Caenorhabditis elegans: one gene and its partner. The protein of the gene in region 1 interacts with the protein of each later gene in a pairwise test. Each region holds a gene or a part of one and is shown in the gene's direction. Other genes may lie near its edges.

Evidence for each region.
Region 2: the proteins of nhr-46 (region 1) and fbxa-128 interact in a two-hybrid assay, tested with the Caenorhabditis elegans proteins (one large-scale study listed by BioGRID).

Annotation. Positions count from the first base shown.
Region 1 is NC_003282.8:5,753,356-5,761,997, reverse strand, and holds the start of nhr-46 (Nuclear Hormone Receptor family), read left to right. Parts: upstream 1-4,135; 5' UTR 4,136-4,182; coding exon 4,183-4,608; intron 4,609-4,651; exon of another isoform or gene 4,652-4,672; intron 4,673-5,120; exon of another isoform or gene 5,121-5,141; intron 5,142-5,282; exon of another isoform or gene 5,283-5,306; intron 5,307-5,953; exon of another isoform or gene 5,954-5,977; intron 5,978-6,108; exon of another isoform or gene 6,109-6,129; intron 6,130-6,312; exon of another isoform or gene 6,313-6,333; intron 6,334-8,149; exon of another isoform or gene 8,150-8,170; intron 8,171-8,642.
Region 2 is NC_003281.10:11,135,015-11,143,700, reverse strand, and holds fbxa-128 (DUF38 domain-containing protein), read left to right. Parts: upstream 1-4,587; 5' UTR 4,588-4,674; intron 4,675-4,802; 5' UTR 4,803-4,806; coding exon 4,807-4,865; intron 4,866-5,222; coding exon 5,223-5,865; intron 5,866-6,609; coding exon 6,610-6,816; 3' UTR 6,817-6,902; downstream 6,903-8,686. Other genes in the region: pola-1 (DNA polymerase), read right to left, coding at 1-917, 969-1,062, 1,110-1,253; Y47D3A.1 (F-box C protein), read left to right, coding at 2,066-2,122, 2,167-2,256, 2,582-2,751, 2,795-2,916, 2,965-3,133, 3,684-4,440; pha-1 (F-box domain-containing protein), read right to left, coding at 7,719-8,463.

The DNA of each region.
Region 1 (8,642 bases):
TCACACTACTTGTGAATTTCAATAAAATTTGATAGTAACAATATTTGCTGATATCTTTCCTTTCCCTCTGCAATACATCTCAGAACGAAAAGTATAACGTGATTCGTGTTTTTCTATAGAAATTTCACTACAAAAATTGGATGACGTCAAACTTCTTAAAACAAAAATTGAGGTTAGCCTTCATTGTTCTCGTGGCAAAATGAGATTTTTTCGATATTTTTAAAAATCTCAACAGTCCATTTGATCTATTTTTAAATAGAATAATTGTTCTCTATGATATATATTTTTACTGTTTCAAAACTTTAGCATAATTTGAACAGAAAATTGTTTTTTATTGACTGAATTTTTTTGATAGTTTGTTCCAGTGAAGCCAAACCCAATATAACTCGCACTGTAGACATTCTCATCATTATTGCATAACTTTGTGTCATATTATTTCTGCAGTTACATATAAAGTGACGTGGTGCAAATTATTTTTTTCATGGCATTTTCAGCACAAATAACATCTCTCCAAAAAATCGTATTCTGACTGGCAAGGGAGAAGTTTATCTTCAATATCGGATCATGTAGTGTCTCACAAACATGTCTCCTCTCTTATTCTTCCATTGTTCCGATCTAAAGATTCAACGATTATTTCATTTTCGAGATACCTCGGAAGACTAAAGTGTTTTCTGGGAATATTCGTTAGGGTGTCTCCACCAATTTCCTAAAGCCTTGAGTTTTTGAATAATATCAGAGAATGAGACAATTTGTCACTGTTTCATTACTTCTTGAAAAAACTAAAGCAGTCGAAATTTATAATGAACGAGCCATGAAAGTGTGAGGTGTCCATAGAAACTTACTTTTCAAAGTTATGCAAAAAATTGTTAAATTTACTGTTTCGACATGTCCAGAAATTCAAAATTAGAAAGAATTCCTATTGAAATCTTGATCGCATGTTTTGAACAAGAAGCTTACATTACCAAAACAGCTATTTTGCTTGGTACTTTTGCCAAAGTTTCAGCTTCTATGGTAGGTAGCACTTGCCTACCTTATGCCTGCCAGTCTCCCATTAACTTCTGAGTTTTAAAGCAATCAAAATGGTTTTTGCATTTATGGTTGGTTTTTTTCAGTCAATCTGCGAAAATTAAAATTATTATCTGAGAATATGGACGTGGATAATTTGTCGGTAGGCATCAGATAGGCACAACGCAGGCATAGCCAAAAACATATTTGTAACGTTACTAAATGCCACTCAATTTTAATAAAATGGGCTCTGAAAGAGGGAAAAATGTACGGCCTGTTTTAAAAAAAAAACAAAGGTTCGCATTTTGGAAATTTTGGTCCAAAGCTGAATTTCTGTTAGGGACATGTTTCTAAATATTTTTCGCATGGTATAAAGTCCAAAATTGAACAGAAACAATTTTCTGGTTATCTCCATTTTTTTTAAATAACCAATTTATTACAGTTTCACACTGGATATTTTTATTTTTAAAAAAAACTGTGACTCTCCAGTGCCCTTTTATTTTCCGCAAACTGTTCTCTGTTCTATCATTTTCATGAAAACATGGCTTTCCAGTATTAACCATCCACCTCAAGATCGTAGACATCGATCCAATGTCGGCGGCAATCTGTTCCAGATCTGACGGCGTCTCTCGTCATTTTTTTATTTTTCAAGGTCTTCGCCTAATTTATCTCGACTCACTGTTCCGCGTTCCAGTGTATCGGTACCAGTACTTTTTTTTTAAATTTTCCTCAGACCAAATAGATCAGTTTTCTGAATAGTTTTTTTTTCTATATTAACATGTTTCACGTAGTCTGTATTGTTTCAGACTGTAGTAAGCTATAATTCGTAAAATTTTTATATTGAAAAATAAATAAGTTTGATGAATGATAGATACCAGCATTTGATAAGCTTCTAGGACAGGGACAAAATTTTAAAACTTGAAATTTGGCCTAACATCCTTTGAATTTGCAAACCGGTATAAGAGAATTTTAGATTTTTTTTTGAGATAGTTTTGAGAATTTCCTAGGTTTCAACTTTTGGGATATTTTGAATCTATTGTTGCAAAACAATGCTGATCCATTATTGCTTTTTTAGTATGTTTTATATAGTCGGTATTATTTGAGATTGTAGAAAAAATCTATAATTTCTTCTTTGTCATTAGGATTAGGCAAAAATACATTGGTCTACATCACAATGAGAGCGAAACAATACAAAATTGAATAACCTAATCAATAGTTTGAAACAGTTGTTTTTTGTTTTCCAATGGAAGGTTTTGGATAACCCTCGAATTAAAAAAACTCTCATTAGAATCAAATTTAAAATGAATACACTTAAAGCAGTCAGAAACCTGTAGGCTCCAATCAAAACCATTAAAACTCCCTAAAAATTGTTAAGATGCTATTTTAAGTTTCCAACCAATGCAAAGATTGAATATGTATGACAACATTGTTCTTGAAAATATGGAAAAAATTTGGTTTCTGGGCACTTTTAAAATTATTGAAACGTTGAGGAAAAACATTGCAAACTTTTTTTGATGTCCTAATGTGATTTGAGCTCCTTCAATGTAAATTTATAAGATTTCACTATAATTGCCGCTGAAACTATATTTTATATGTTTCAAGTGGTGTATAATATTAGAAAATGCTACCATAAACAATACGATCACTGGTTTATTTGTAAACTGATTGAAAAAAGTATAAATTTTGTAACAGACAAAAAGCATGGAAAATTATGAAAAAAAACGTTAAAACCCTTTATAACACAAAAAAATAGGCACCGAATCGTAGAGATTCCGGAATAGCTGAAATTGTCCGTTGTGACTCAGTTTTGCAGCCCTTATTCTGAGTGTGATGCGATACTTGCCAGTTTTAAATAATGAAATAATTCCATATAAAAATTCGCAAAAGTGATATCAAATTTTATTTTAATATTTTCAAAGTAAAAGTTATTCATAAAAGTGTTAGTTTTTCAATTAACAAAAAAAACTGAGCTCTCCATCTTCCGATCTCCTATTCCCAAAAACCATTTCTATCCATCTTCCCCTCCCATTGTTTTCCATTAATTTTGATTCTTTTAACAGATTAATAAACTTCCAGTCATTCAGCTTCCCTTCATCTCATTCTCCGATTCCTTAGATCATTATCATGATCAGCACCGGCCGTCTTGTGTCCAACCGTACCACTCGTCCCTCTCTCTCTCATTTCACAGTTTCCCTCGGGTTTTTCAAATATTGTGTTCAGATGGACATTCTTCTTCTGACTTTAAAATTTTTACTGCTTACGCGTCCGAAGAAAAAAGGAAATTAAAAAGCATCAAAGTAACAGCGTCAAAAACTTGGTTCAATATTTACCTTGAAACTGGAAAATTGATTGTTCCGATTTCTTGGCGGTGCTCTCTTCAACTTTTGTTGATTTCTTTGATCGCTCATTGCTCATGAATCAATCAGGTTAGGTACACAAAATGAATGAGCACTGAAACATTATTATTTCCATCTCGTCATTCGATTTTTCACAGTTTTATATTTTCGGTTCACAGTTCATCAAAACGGATATAGCTTTAGAGAAACATATTTTTTCACTAAAAATTAAAAAATTAAAATCGATGTTTATATTTTTTTATTTCAGAAACAGCTTTTTTTAATTACTGTTTCACAACCACATAAATAATTTTGAAATTTTTCACATCCCAATCTTCATGTTTTTCGGTTTCTAAAATTGTACAACATATAAAATTGTACAACATGCCTGTTAGAAATTTTGATCAAAACTCCCCAAAAAAACATTTTGTGAGACATTTATTAAACTGCGATTTTAACAAAGCAACTTGAATACTAGCAGAAAAATAGGATTATCTCTGAAAAAATTTCCAGCTGTTTTCAATCATATCAATCTTATCGGTTATCGATTCATTTTACGCCCTTCATCCATTTTCGCTTGATTTTTTTTTTGAAAAAAAGTTACTGTTTCAGAAGTCCAATAATTAATTTGATATTTCTCTTTATCCTATTCTTCACTTTTTCTAAAGGTTATGCATCTTTAAATGTATACTCTTGTTTGAGTTTGTGTGCTCTCTTATCATCATGATTATCATCTCTTCTCCTCCTCGTTTTAACCACTTTTTTTGCATATGACTATACCTCATTTTTTCCAGGTATCTATCTCAAATTTCCCATTTTCAAAACGACGTCTTCACTTGTTATGGAACTATTTCGATCGCCGCCACAAACGGCAATGTTTCCTACAACAGCTTCTAGTTCTTTTGTCTCAGCGGCTCTTCATCAACAACAATCATCTCCATCATCAAATCTTCCAGTAATCCCTTCACCAACTGATATGATTACTGTAACATCAACATCACCAATTCCAATCACAACTTCTGCATCACCACCGAATCTTCCAATGTTCTTAAGCTTTCCGAGCACATCAACGACGACAAGTATCCTTATGGATACTGTATTAGCTGCTCAAAAACTGAATCAACAGCAGAATCAGCAAGCATTCAATTTTATGGTTGTGAAGCAGGAAAATGGAGAAACTGGAAGAAATTTTATGACAATGAAGCAAGATGCTCTGCAAGCAATCACTAATACAGTTTCAAGGAATTCACCGCCAAATGTTATTAAGGTGTGTTTATTTTTTAATTAAAAACTTGGTATTTGAAATAAGAAAGCCCAGTCATTTTCTTGAAGTAATGAGTTTTAAACCTACATTTTTTACTGATTCGTAAAGCAGTAAATTTTTGTTCATATCAGCAAGATTTAATAAGTGTTTTTTAATTCTTGTAAGAATGCCTATTGAAATTTTGAATGAGAAATCCTAGCAAATTCATGAAAAAACATCAACAGCTTACCAAAATGCTCGGTTTAAAGCGAACGATAAAACAAAATGTTTTGTTAGTTTTTTTAATTTTTTATTTTGTTTTCATTTATTTCTACTGTTTCATGAAATAGTGAATTGGAAATACTCAATTTTTGTACGCCTGTACATACGCCTACAAAATGTGTTTTTTTCTGTAATTTGAAATTTCGCCATGAAATTTCGTATTTTCCTGACATGTAACCAAACGAGTAAGAAAAATCTTGAAATTTCCGAGTCTGCAAAATTCGGCAATTCCACATGTTCAAGGTTTTCTGAATATCTCGCTGCATGAAAGAAAAATCAGCAATTAACATTTTTCAACTTTTATACTGTTTGTAAAACATTAGATTTTTATTGTTGTGAAAAACTGTTTGGAATTTGATATGTTTTTTTACTGTTTCATAGCCACAATGAAATAGTCAATTTTAGTATTTATTTGCTGACTAACCACGATTCCTCAAAAAATATCAAATTTTCCGAATTTTTACAACCACTGTTTCAATGTTCAATTGTGTTACTTCGCTCTCTCCGATACAATTCCATAACATTTTATCATCATAAACGGCCGTGCAACACAGTAAAAATGGAATGATTTAACGCTCTCTCTCTTCCAAAAGGTTGAAAAGAATGAAAGAGCAGTGACGTACTGAATTTCAAATTCCACTATTTTCTGTCTGCATAAATGATCGATTTTTGTTTGGGGCGAATTCAGATACGGATTCCTGAAGGATCTCCCGTTTTAGGTGCAATGTAATCTAAAAGATCTTCGTGTTTACATGAAGCCTTGTCCCTAATTTCTGGAAAAAATGCCAAAATTTTCAAGATATTTGTACTTGATCATTGTCTTGTGCTCTCTCATTGTGCGCTTCTCCTCGCCAGCTGAATCAACAAATAATATTAATTTCTACATTACAAATTCGACATTAATTTTGACAATTTGAATGACTGTTTTATCTATCACCGCTCAATTTTGTGATCATCTCTTTATGATCAGTATCAATAAAACAAAGTGCCAACCGGAAATATGTGACAGTTCAGTTTCGCGGGTTAGTTCACGTGGTTTTCACGGTTTCGTTGAGTTGTATTTGCACATTGGTACATGAAAGAACATTCCGGAATGCGAAAAAAAGATTGAATGAATGAGTAAGGGGGTCTAGAATAAGTCGATGCCAGGAAACAGTAAAATTTTCAAATTGGTAGTTTAAGAACAAAAGTATAAGCGAATCTTATTTTAAAATCTGTTTTCCTTTTTTACAACAATATTTACTAAAATATTTATAGCTGTTAATAACTCGAAATTAACAATTTCCATAATAAACCATATCTGAAACAGTAGATTTTGTGTACCTCAATAACATTTATTTTTGGAATAGCCAACAGCCTTGCAAATAATTGTTTTTCTTCAATACCCTAACAAAAATAAAAATAATTGAAAAATGTTGAAATAGAAACATGCTTTAGCCTGCTTTAAAATTTATTTCACGATGTGTACCAAATTTTTATAATTTTACAGAATATCACAGTAACTTGTAATAGCAGAAAATTTGTGAAATGTGACTATTACTAAGTTTCCCACTATAGCCGTTCTGTTTGAAATCTGGCAATTTGTTCTTACTTTGACTGAAATTTCTGAAAATTCCAGATTGTTCTGGACTTTTAAAATATGATGCGTGTTCATGTGAAGGTATTATAAATGTATTTATACAAAATGCCTGTTGACGTGACTCCAAATTTAACTAAAAATATCTACTGCACCAAAAAAAATCCAAAAATTTTTCACAAAACTAATCTTATATTAGAAAAACTAAATATAAAACAACCAATATATATATTACAACAGGTCACTGTCTTTTTTAAACATTAAATTAATTTTAAAACGTAGTCTAAATTAGTTCTCTGAAAGTTCAATAGTTCATAAAGTTTCCCTCTATCTTCAATTTCCTTTCTGAAATAGCTTCCTTTTCCCTCAGGGGGTTTAGATGTGGAAATAATCCTTTTCTAAATGTAATGTAGTCCTGACATTAATTATGCCCATTTCCTCTATTCATCCATGAAAAATCTCGTCCCTCGTTCTCCTCTTGTTATGTTTCGAGTGTTGCTAATTTCTCGCCGATTCGGTCGCAATTTTTGAGCGCGGAGGAATTGACCCAATTTACACTAGCTTCATGTTGTTGGGCGAAAAACCGGAAAATGGTTCAGCTGTTGGAAATGCAGAAAATTTGAGGAAATACATTAGATCAAAACACACAGGTTGATAAGGTATTGTTGATCTATTGATGGAAAGAAGAAATCATAAAATTAGAACAGAGATATCGCAATCTCTATGATCTCGCAGAAACGTTTGTGATAATTTTTATAATATTTATATAGTTTTAGACCTTTTTATTTGAATTGTTCCAGTTTTTAATTTAAAAAAACCGTGCATTTGTACAGTTTAAGTTACATTATTCGAAACACTTGGAATTCGAAAAAAAAATCCCGTTTCAAATAGGTGTTTTATTTTCGTTTAAAATTTTGTCTGCGATTTTGTCTTTTTACAAAGTTTATTTCCAAAAAAACAACAATCTTACGTCACGTGCAAAATGAATAGAAATTTGATTAGGTGTGTATAGAAATAATGCAATTCTTAGTTTCCCTAGAGGACAGCTGAAAGTGTGCGATCTCAGTGAACTCGTGTAGTGATAAAAAAATGACACGTGTTTCCTGAATCAAAAACATTCGGGATCAAAAGGATCCATTTATATACTGATAAAACACACACCCAGAGAAACAGCATCACAGTTCATTGTCTGAATCTCTCAGTTTACCACACTATTTCACTCTCCTCTAACTCTTGTGCAAAATGAAATACGCAACAAAATGTAAACTTTAGGGGCGATTCTCTCACACTCTCCGCACTCTCTTAAGAGTGCCCACATTTTCTCGCATTTCTCTGTCGGTCTCTTCATAACATGTACTCTCTTCCAGGTTTCTAGATTTGTCTGCGTCCCAGTATCTCGCTCGCATGCCTGCACTTCTTCGATACCCGCCTTACTCTCCTCTTTCGCTCTCTCGATCATTTTTCGGTCTTCGTATCAAAGGATCGCAAGCACTTTTCAACTTTCCATCTTATGATTCTACTTGGAATTCTTAAACCATGTGTTTTGACCATCCTCTTCTCGTTTCTAGCGTTTTCCGTGAAAACCTTCGAGTTTCCTTGAAAATTTTGCCAATTTTCGGTACATTCTAGTTTAGATAAGGAGCCCCTAGATGGGAGGAAGAATTGCATGGAATCAAAATGATACGAGTGATATTTTGTACGATTTTCGAAATGCTATTCGAACCTGAAACACTTTGTAAATCCAAAATTTTATATCAGAATTTAGTGAAACAGAAAAAAATCGTTCATTTCTAAAGTTCAAATTGCTTCCAATCCTCTTTGTGTCTTCAACCACTGCATGTGGTTGAACAAAAAATGTGTTTTGTTGATCAACGCCGCACACACAGAGTCTCAGAGTGCACGCAACCCATGCTATTTTTTGCAAATATATTTTTTGGGAAGAAAATGTCGCATTGAAACCTTTTGAAACCTATCCCTCTCTCCGCCACGTGTTTTGCTCGCAGAGCTCCTTCTGTGTCTCGAATGTGTGCATTGTGGTATGTGTAGTCTCAGTTTGCTCAGACCGCTCTCAGTCCCTCACAAAAGAGAAAATGAAGACAAATAATATCTATCTATCTCTCTCTGACATTCTCCAATATCTCTTCCTCTCTATTTCTCCGTATCTCTCCACAAAACCGTTGTGCATTCAAAAAGACACTCG
Region 2 (8,686 bases), on another chromosome or scaffold:
CTCCTCTCCGGTGCTGAGATTCTTGGTGCGAGGCATAAAGTAGACCTTCCTGCAGATGTTCTTCACAACGATTGAGCAGGTCTCCCAGGCGTTACCGCTGGTTTTGACCTTTCCGAAGAGATAGACGGTGCCGTTGGCCTTGTGAACATCCTCGTAGGCATCGATCCAGTACATACGGATCGCTTTGGTGGTGTTGTCCTCGCCGCCCATCGTGTAGAAGGCTTCGGATCCGGTTTTCACCTCGACCTTCACATCTTCGTCCTCCTGACTGCTGCTCCCGCCTGTCCAGTCTTCAATGACACGGAACTTCGCCAGACTATCCTCGACTTCTTCCAGATGCTCGGTCTCCATTTTCACTGTTTCTTCGATTTTCTGGATCGCTGGAGCTGTTGGAGCTTCGACTTCTGCCATTTTCTCCGTTTTCACTGGAGAAGTCACCGGAGAAGCCACTGGATAATCATCTGGAATCCCATAATCCTCATCCTCATCAACCTTCACATGCCGCTGGAATTTGTGCTCGGCGAGCCCGGTCGCCTCTCTCTTGGCCTTCTTAGCAATCGGCCGTGGAGCCAGTGAATCCGAGCCGCTCGGTGAGTCGAATTTTCGTCCCCGCTTGAACGGATTCGCTGGGGTCGCCTTCGGCTTCTCCTCGGCCTCCTCATCGCTGCTTCCCAGCTGCTCCAGCATATTTTTCACCTCCTCATCGTCGTCAAACTCGGCTTTCACCACAGACTCGTCGATCGGCTTCTTGGTGGAGGTTGTGGAGAGGAATGCATGAAGTCCTCCCTTTTTCTTGTCTTTTTTCGGCTTTTTCTCGCCTTTTTTCGAGGAATTTGAATTTTTCGAAGAACTGGGCGCATAATCGTCTTCGTAGTCATCTTCAAAGTCTACACCGTTGTCTACGTAGCCCATTCCATCTGAAAAATTTATATTTTGAAAAATGTTAACAATTTAAATCAGAAAAATACCATCATCGACAATAAAATTGTCCTTTTGTCGTTTTGCAACGATTTTCTCGTACTCATCATCATCAACCGTGTCGTAGACGTCCTCCACGTCGAGCTAAATGAAAAAAATCGTTTTATAACAAAAATCTGCTATAAAACTACCTCTGGGCGATAGGCTTTTCCTGTTGATCGCGCCAATTTCAGCTGCTCAATTGCAGACAGCTCCTTCGACTTCTTTTGACTGACTCCACAGCGGCGAGACGAGCGTCTAACATCCGATTCTGCATGGTTTTCCGAGTCGGACATCTGAAAAACGAAGAAAAATTACAAAAAAATCGCAAAAAACATAGCAAAATTAAGCGAGAAAGTGAGAAAATGCGGTAAAACGTTCAAAAAATTGTTTGAAAATTTGCTTCGCGCGCTGCCTTTCCTTGCAGTAGAGCGCGCTTGCAATTTCATGAGACCTCGCTGTTTTCGGGATGATGAGTGTGGTAGAAGTGAATTTTCGCAAAAAGTTAATGTTTTCTAGTTGACGTAATTAAAAAAATAAATGATTATTTTAAAATATAGTTGTTTAATTGACATTTCTAAAGTTGTCAACAGGAAAACAGCAGAAATATTATAATTTTCTCACCAGATCAATTTCTCCCGGTGTTTTTCCCGTTTTTTCAATGAAAAAAATTTATTTAAAGATAAAATAATAAAATCAAGCATGGAAAACTGAAAAACTGCTCTCAAAATTCGATAAGAAAATATATTTTCGAAAATTGAGCCCGCTACGGTAGAATTTAAATTCTTACTGTAAATAGTTTTCGCTAAGAGATATTGCGCGTCAAATCAAATGCCCCAGTGCGCATTCTCAGAATTGTGTGTTCCCGTAATATGACTACATCCTGTGTCCATTGACCTGTATGACGTCACGGAAAACACAGCTGTTCGGCCCTCCTGCCAAATATCTATTTTTTGGGAGTTATTCCTAATTCCTGTGTGCCGAGAAATCTATTAAATAAATACATATTCAGTTTTTTATTCACTAAATTTCTCTACATAACAGGCTAACCTATTTTTTTTAATGAATAATGTGAATTCAGTTCAATCAATATTTTCAGCCGTTCGGAATGAGTTTGTCAAGAATTTATAGAAACCAATTTACGCCTGTTGGCGACAATTCTTCTGTAAGTTAAACCAAATCTGAAAAAAAATGCGAAATGGTTTTCAGAACAGCATGAAAGTGTTCACAAATCAAAGAATCGTCGACAATATTCTGAAATATGTGAAAGGAGATATGAACAATCGGTTGAAGTCACGTGTGAGTAATTTTTATAAATTTTGATAAGAAAATATTTTAGTCCAATATCACGGATATCTGGCTTCCCTCATAAATTGAAATGGAAGAGTTTGTGCCAAACTAGACCATTTTGGCTCGACCATATCTGGGGTAGATTTACGGCGCGTTGCGTGTCGCGTCGCGGCTTGTAAAACTGAATGTATTTGTCCGTGTGGAGTACACGACTTTCCCACGCCTTGTCCGGCGGGCGATTGTCAATAGAGCGCGAAAAATGCAATGAGGAAGGCCAGAGCCCAGTGTTTTCGTCCAATATTTATATTTCAAGTTATAATAAATAGCTTTGCAGCTGGTCAACAAAGCATTCAATTTTGGAATCATTCATTCGATTCGAATAGAGCATCAAACAGTGATCTTTCACAAGCCTACTCGTTGTGATATTATTAGAAGATGCCCAAATTGTACAGTGAACTTGAATTCGGTAGAGCTTAATGTTAAGAACATACGAAAGTATGCGAGGCAAGTTTTGTTATGAAAATGAGTATGTAAATTTATATTACAGGTTCTTGAAACAAACGATGAAGATAACGGTATTCAAAATAATAATTGAAGACTTGGAATTCAGTTGTATTGATAGAGAAATTATTCATTTGGCTCTCAATGACTTATTTACAGATTCAGATTGTGAGTTCTATTGATCCATTCTTAATTTTCTAATATTCTTACTTTCAGATGAGAGAGTCGAAGAATTTATTGGAGTTGATAATATCTGCATTGCAGGATGTGGCGAATGTAGAAAAATGATTCAAAACTGTAAAGTATACGGGCCAATTCAACTGGACATATTTCAAAGTGTAATGGGGCAAAAACGAAGCTTTGATGCATTACAGATCACAGACGAGTGAGTTTTAGAATTTTTCTAAAATTTTTGAGAACCGTATAAACTTATATACATAGGCACGTGATGTTAAAGTGCCCAATTTCGGTGTGATCTACCAAAAATGCGGGAGAAGAGGCGCAGACTTCTCAACAGATTTCGTATGGTTAACAGCGTGCTGACGTCACATTTTTTTCTGCAAAAAATTCCCGCATTTTTTGTTGATCACACCAGAATTGGGCAGTTTGACACCACGTGCATATGTAATACTACCCACTTACAAAGTACTAAACCGTTTGAAAATTCCGACGCTGAGAAAATTATGCATGATCGATTTTCAATTACTACATACTTTACGGTAATTACGGAAAAACTCTTAAAATTTTTATCAGCCAACGTTCGAAACAAACGCGTGGTGTTAGAGTGTCCACGAAAATCGCGAGAATTTAGTTGCAAAATTCCTAACCCACTTTACATGGTTTGGGAAAAAATGCCACCATTTTTTGTAGATCAAACCGTTATGGGACAGCCTGACACCACTTAAACGAGCCCATTACACAATTAATCATTTCAGAGATCTCTACGTATTATTATGGCTTAACAAGCAGAAGGATCCGAAGCTAGTTGAAAACTTTATCAACTCGATCATCACTTGCTCAAAATTTACAATTTTTCTAACATCTATATTCGAAAAGAAGGAATTGGGACATTCTCTACCGAGAGAGCTTGTGGATATGTTAATAACAAAATGGAATGTAAAAACTGTTGAAATTGGGTTCAAAAATGTGACGAACGACGATTTCTATCAGAATACTGATTATATTGATCCAAAAGCTAAATTCTATGTGGATTACCGGACTCAACAACGTTCAATGTACACATTGGATGTAGTGGAAATTAATATAAAACTCACAAGAATAATGGAAAAGTGTCATGGATCACTATTTAACAATTTTGTTCCAAATGTTCGCACGATATTCCCATCCAACAAGATCACTTTGAAACTCTCGAAGGAAGTTTGCAAAGTGCTCATGAATCCTGACAACGTTGAGGACTTCATTTCAGGAGTTATTTTGATGGCTCAAAACGATGATCACCCTAATTCACATATTTCTCTAAAGTTATATCCCCAGCAATTACGTTTTCGTTTGATTACTTCGTTTTTATGTGATAATCTAGTTAAGTTATTTGGTTTCTGGAGCTTAAAATCAGTTTCAAAAATTTCTGAAAATGAGAGAGGTAAATCCTTTCATTTTTTCAACCGATCAATTAATTGTAACATCAACTTCGATGTGGTATATTCTTTTGATGTTGTTGAATATGTAGATTGAATAAACTTTAAAGACTTTTTTGTTTTGTACTATTAATAAACCATCACTTGGTGTCAGATTGCCCCATCGCTCTACTGCACACAAAAATGGCGGGAAAATTTATGTTTAAATTTTTGTGGCCTTCTTTTGATCCCTTGAACTTTCTCTTGGGAGTGGCGCTTGTGGAGCGTTGCACAACATTGTATAATCTTTTTCACAGCAGACGCAGGGAAAAACAGACATTTGTCGAAGGCGGTGAGTGCAATAAATAAGCATCGAGTCATGATTATTCCATGCACTTTTTGTGACCATGGAGCTTTTTTTCTATTTTTTTAAAATTAAAAATGGAAAATTACCAAAATTACAAAACTTTTTTTTTTCAGTAAAATGGAGCCATCAACGTCAGTCAATCAATCTGGGAATCAGGAAAGTGGGACTCAATATCCGTGAGTTAATGATTTAAGGATATAACTTTACTGAACTAAAGTAATTTTCACAAAAAAATTGAGAAAGGTGGAGAAGGTTTAGGGGTTCCATGTAGGAATTAAAATGTCTGCCTGCCTCAATTTGCGCTTTATGCTTGAACTTATACTTGAACTCTTTAGTGACAAAAATGGAAAATTTTTAAATGTGTAAATTCATGCCAAAATGCAAATGAAGGCGGAAGGCCGGCTAGGTTTCAGGCAGGCCCTGAAACCGGGCCTGCCTACCATGGAAGCCCTAACAAGGTTATTAATTTTTTGCATGTTAAAAGTATTCGCAAAACTTTCTAGTTTTTGACTGAAAACTTCCAAAACTTTCAGATCCACCACACCAAAACTCTTAAGATATTTCATTTGTATGAACAGTGTGGATTCTAAAAGAATTGCTATCAGAATACTAAACGACGTCCCGAAACTGTTTATCGGAGCAAGTTGCTCACATCGGAAAGGTGCCGGAGCACTTGTTTATAAAAGTGTGGAAAATGGTTGCATTGTGGAGTTCGGAACTGAGCAACGATTTGTGGAAGGTGGAAATAGTTTCAAGTTGGCTTTTGATGATTTGGAGGAAGTTATCAGATTTTTCAAATATTCACTGGAATCTTTGGAGGTTTTACTCGATGAAAAAGTTGGCATGGAAAACCGCAATTTGTGCATTTCATCTATTCTGGGTGGTTTATCGATGCACGTATCTAGCTTGTCACTTCGTGGCTTGTCTTCCAAAGAAATGATGTTAATAATATCGAAATGTGAATCTGGAGTACTGGAAAGTATTCACTTGGGAAACTGTAATATGCTTTGTTCATTAAATGAAATTTGCCAACTGGAACAATGGAAAATGACAAAGTCACTCAATGCTCATGGAGGGAAATTTTCTGTGGATTCTATACAACACTTGTTTCATTTCACAGAGTTTACTATCACTCTAGATACATTATCCACAGAAGACGCCATCAATGTTAGAGATGTAAGTGGTAGCCGAAACCTGGGCAGAAATAGCCGTTCGGCAAATCGGCAATTTGCCGGTTTGCCGAACATTAATTTGCCGGAAGTTTTTTGAGGGATGTTTTATAAGACGGAAACACTTAAAACTGTGCCTTTTTGAAATTTTTTGCTTAGTTTTCAAAATATATGTAGAAAAATTTATCGGATCTGTACAATTTTGCCGGTTAAAATTGAAATTCTGAAATTTCCAATAAAAAAGCCAAAAATTTTTGCAATTACCGTTTTCCGACAAATCGGCAACTTGCCGGAATTGAAAACTTACGGCAAATCGGCATCTTGCCGGTTCGCCAATTTGCCATAGGTTTTCAATTCCGGCAATTTGCCGATTTGCCGGAAATTTTGCTGCCCACCTTTTTATGATTAATCGACTTTCCGTAAAATCAAAAAAACATTGTTTCAAAAATATTCAAAAAATTAACAAAAGAAAATAGAACATTATGATTGTCGTATTCAAAAAAATTAAGATTTCAAGCTATTTTTCTAAACAATTTATTCAACTAACTATTCTAAAAGTTTTGCAAAACAGTGCAACAGAACAATTTTAGATTGCAACCCCTTAAAAATAAAATCTATAAAACACTTTAAAGAGAGCTGACAGTTAAACAAATCCTCAGGCGGCTGGAAAAATTTTATTTTTAAAAAAATTATGGATTTTGGCCCAACTAGTCTATCTCCAATATAATTTAGTTGTAAAATAAATTTTCAGGTGCTCGTCAAATCGTCCAATTTTTTGCACTGTTACATCCATCTCCCATTCTTAAACATTCAAGAAATCGCTACAATTTTCAAACCTGACTTTTCCAATCACTCTGCTGAAACATTCACAATGACACTTAAGGAAACAGTTAATGAATTTATTATTGACATGAGTCCCTACCACTTCAAGATTACCAATATACTTCATTCCTTTTAATCGGTTGTCATTCAATTTGATCTTGCATATTTTCGATAAATTTCTGGATTTTTAATGAAATTTTTAATGAAATTTTTTAGTACAAAATGCTTAAATACCTCTAGTGGCCCATAAAACCAACAAGAAAAACTTTCACTGTTTCCCCGTTGCTTTGAAATATTCTGCAAACATTTTTAGTTTTTACTACTTTTGTAACTAATATTGAAGAGTTCATTAAAACAGGAAAAGGCAAAAAAAACAAGGAAATATAATATTATAGAGATTACACATAATGTAAAAAAGGAGTGGGGTGCCAATAAAAGAGGGAAAATAGAAAAAAACTATGGAAGAAGTTAAGTATAGCTAGGTTGATTGTTGGGGTTATAATTGAACACACGGTGGGTTCTTGGCAGTAACAAATATTACGGGAACACTAAACTTTGAGAATGCGTATTGCGCATCATATTTGACGTGAAAGATATCTCGTAGCGAAAACTACAGTAATTCTTTTAATGACTACTGTAGCACTGATGTCAATGCCGTTAGAAACAAATTTATTCTCAAATTGCGATAGCGTTTTTTAATTTTCCTCCAATTTGTTCGTTTAGATGTTTTTTTTTAAGTTTTTATCCATTATTTAGAAAAAATAACGCAAAATCGGATCAGCGCTACAGAAGTCATTTCAAGGATTACTGTAGTTTTCGCTACGAGATATTTACTTTAGACACGTTGCGCAATACGCGTTCTCAGAATTCAGTAGAAATGAGTAGTATTTTTATGGATGTAATATGATTTTTTTGTCAAATACTGTTTCACTACTTGAGTTTTCACATTAGCAGATTTTTACTTCATAATTATCTATTTAAAGCGTATTGAAGTGGTAAAGAGTATTTGTCAAAAATGGTTACTAAATCCATGCGAGATTAGCAACAAATATAAAAAATAATCTTACAATTTGTTGACTGGTTGAAAAACTGATAACATTTTTCTGCTGGGAGATTTGCAGAACTGTCTGAAACGGTTTCGAGGTTCCAAGAATCAAATTTCTTCTCGAAATTTTCACGTAGAAACGAATCAATTAAAGGGGCATCTACTTCTTCAGGATATAATTTGAGAGATATATGCGAGTTAGGTTGAGCATCCTTTTGAGTCATCAATATTATTCCCGATATAAAATCTTCAACATTTCCTTGACTCATCATCTCTTGGCAAACTTCCTTCGAGAATCTTACAGTGATCTTATTGCTGGGAAAGATTCTGCGAGCGTTGGCAATAAAATTATCGAATAGTGATTTCCGATTCTTTATTTGTTGTTCGACTACTTTTGTGAGTTGTAGATCAATTTCAACGCCATCCAATGTGTATTTTGACCTTGGTTGAGTCCAGTAATCCACATAAAACTTGGCTTTTGGCACAATAAAATCAGTGTTACAATGGAAATAGTAAGGTATTGGTTGGTCTTGTCTTGGAACAATCTCCACAGTTTTCACATTCCATTTCTTAATCAATAAATCCAGAAACTCCCTTGGTAGAGAGTATCCAAATGCCTCCTTTTCGTACATATACATTAGAAAAATGGTTAATTTTGAGCATGTGATATTCGAATTGATAAAGTCTTCAACTACTGTCGGATCTTCTTTGTTAAGTATCATTAATTTGTAGAGTCTCCTGAAAATTCAGATTTTGCAAACTTATAATGAGTGAACCAAAATTAGTAAAATAGTTTTTGTTACTACAGTGCGTGTACTGCTTTTTTAAAAATTTTTTAATGAGAAAACTGAAAACTTTTAGAAAAGTTATTGTCCTCTTGCATTAAGCATCGTATTAACCTCGGATTTTTGAGTACATTTCGCGTAAAATCACGATTTTTCTACTATTTTCAGAAAAAATA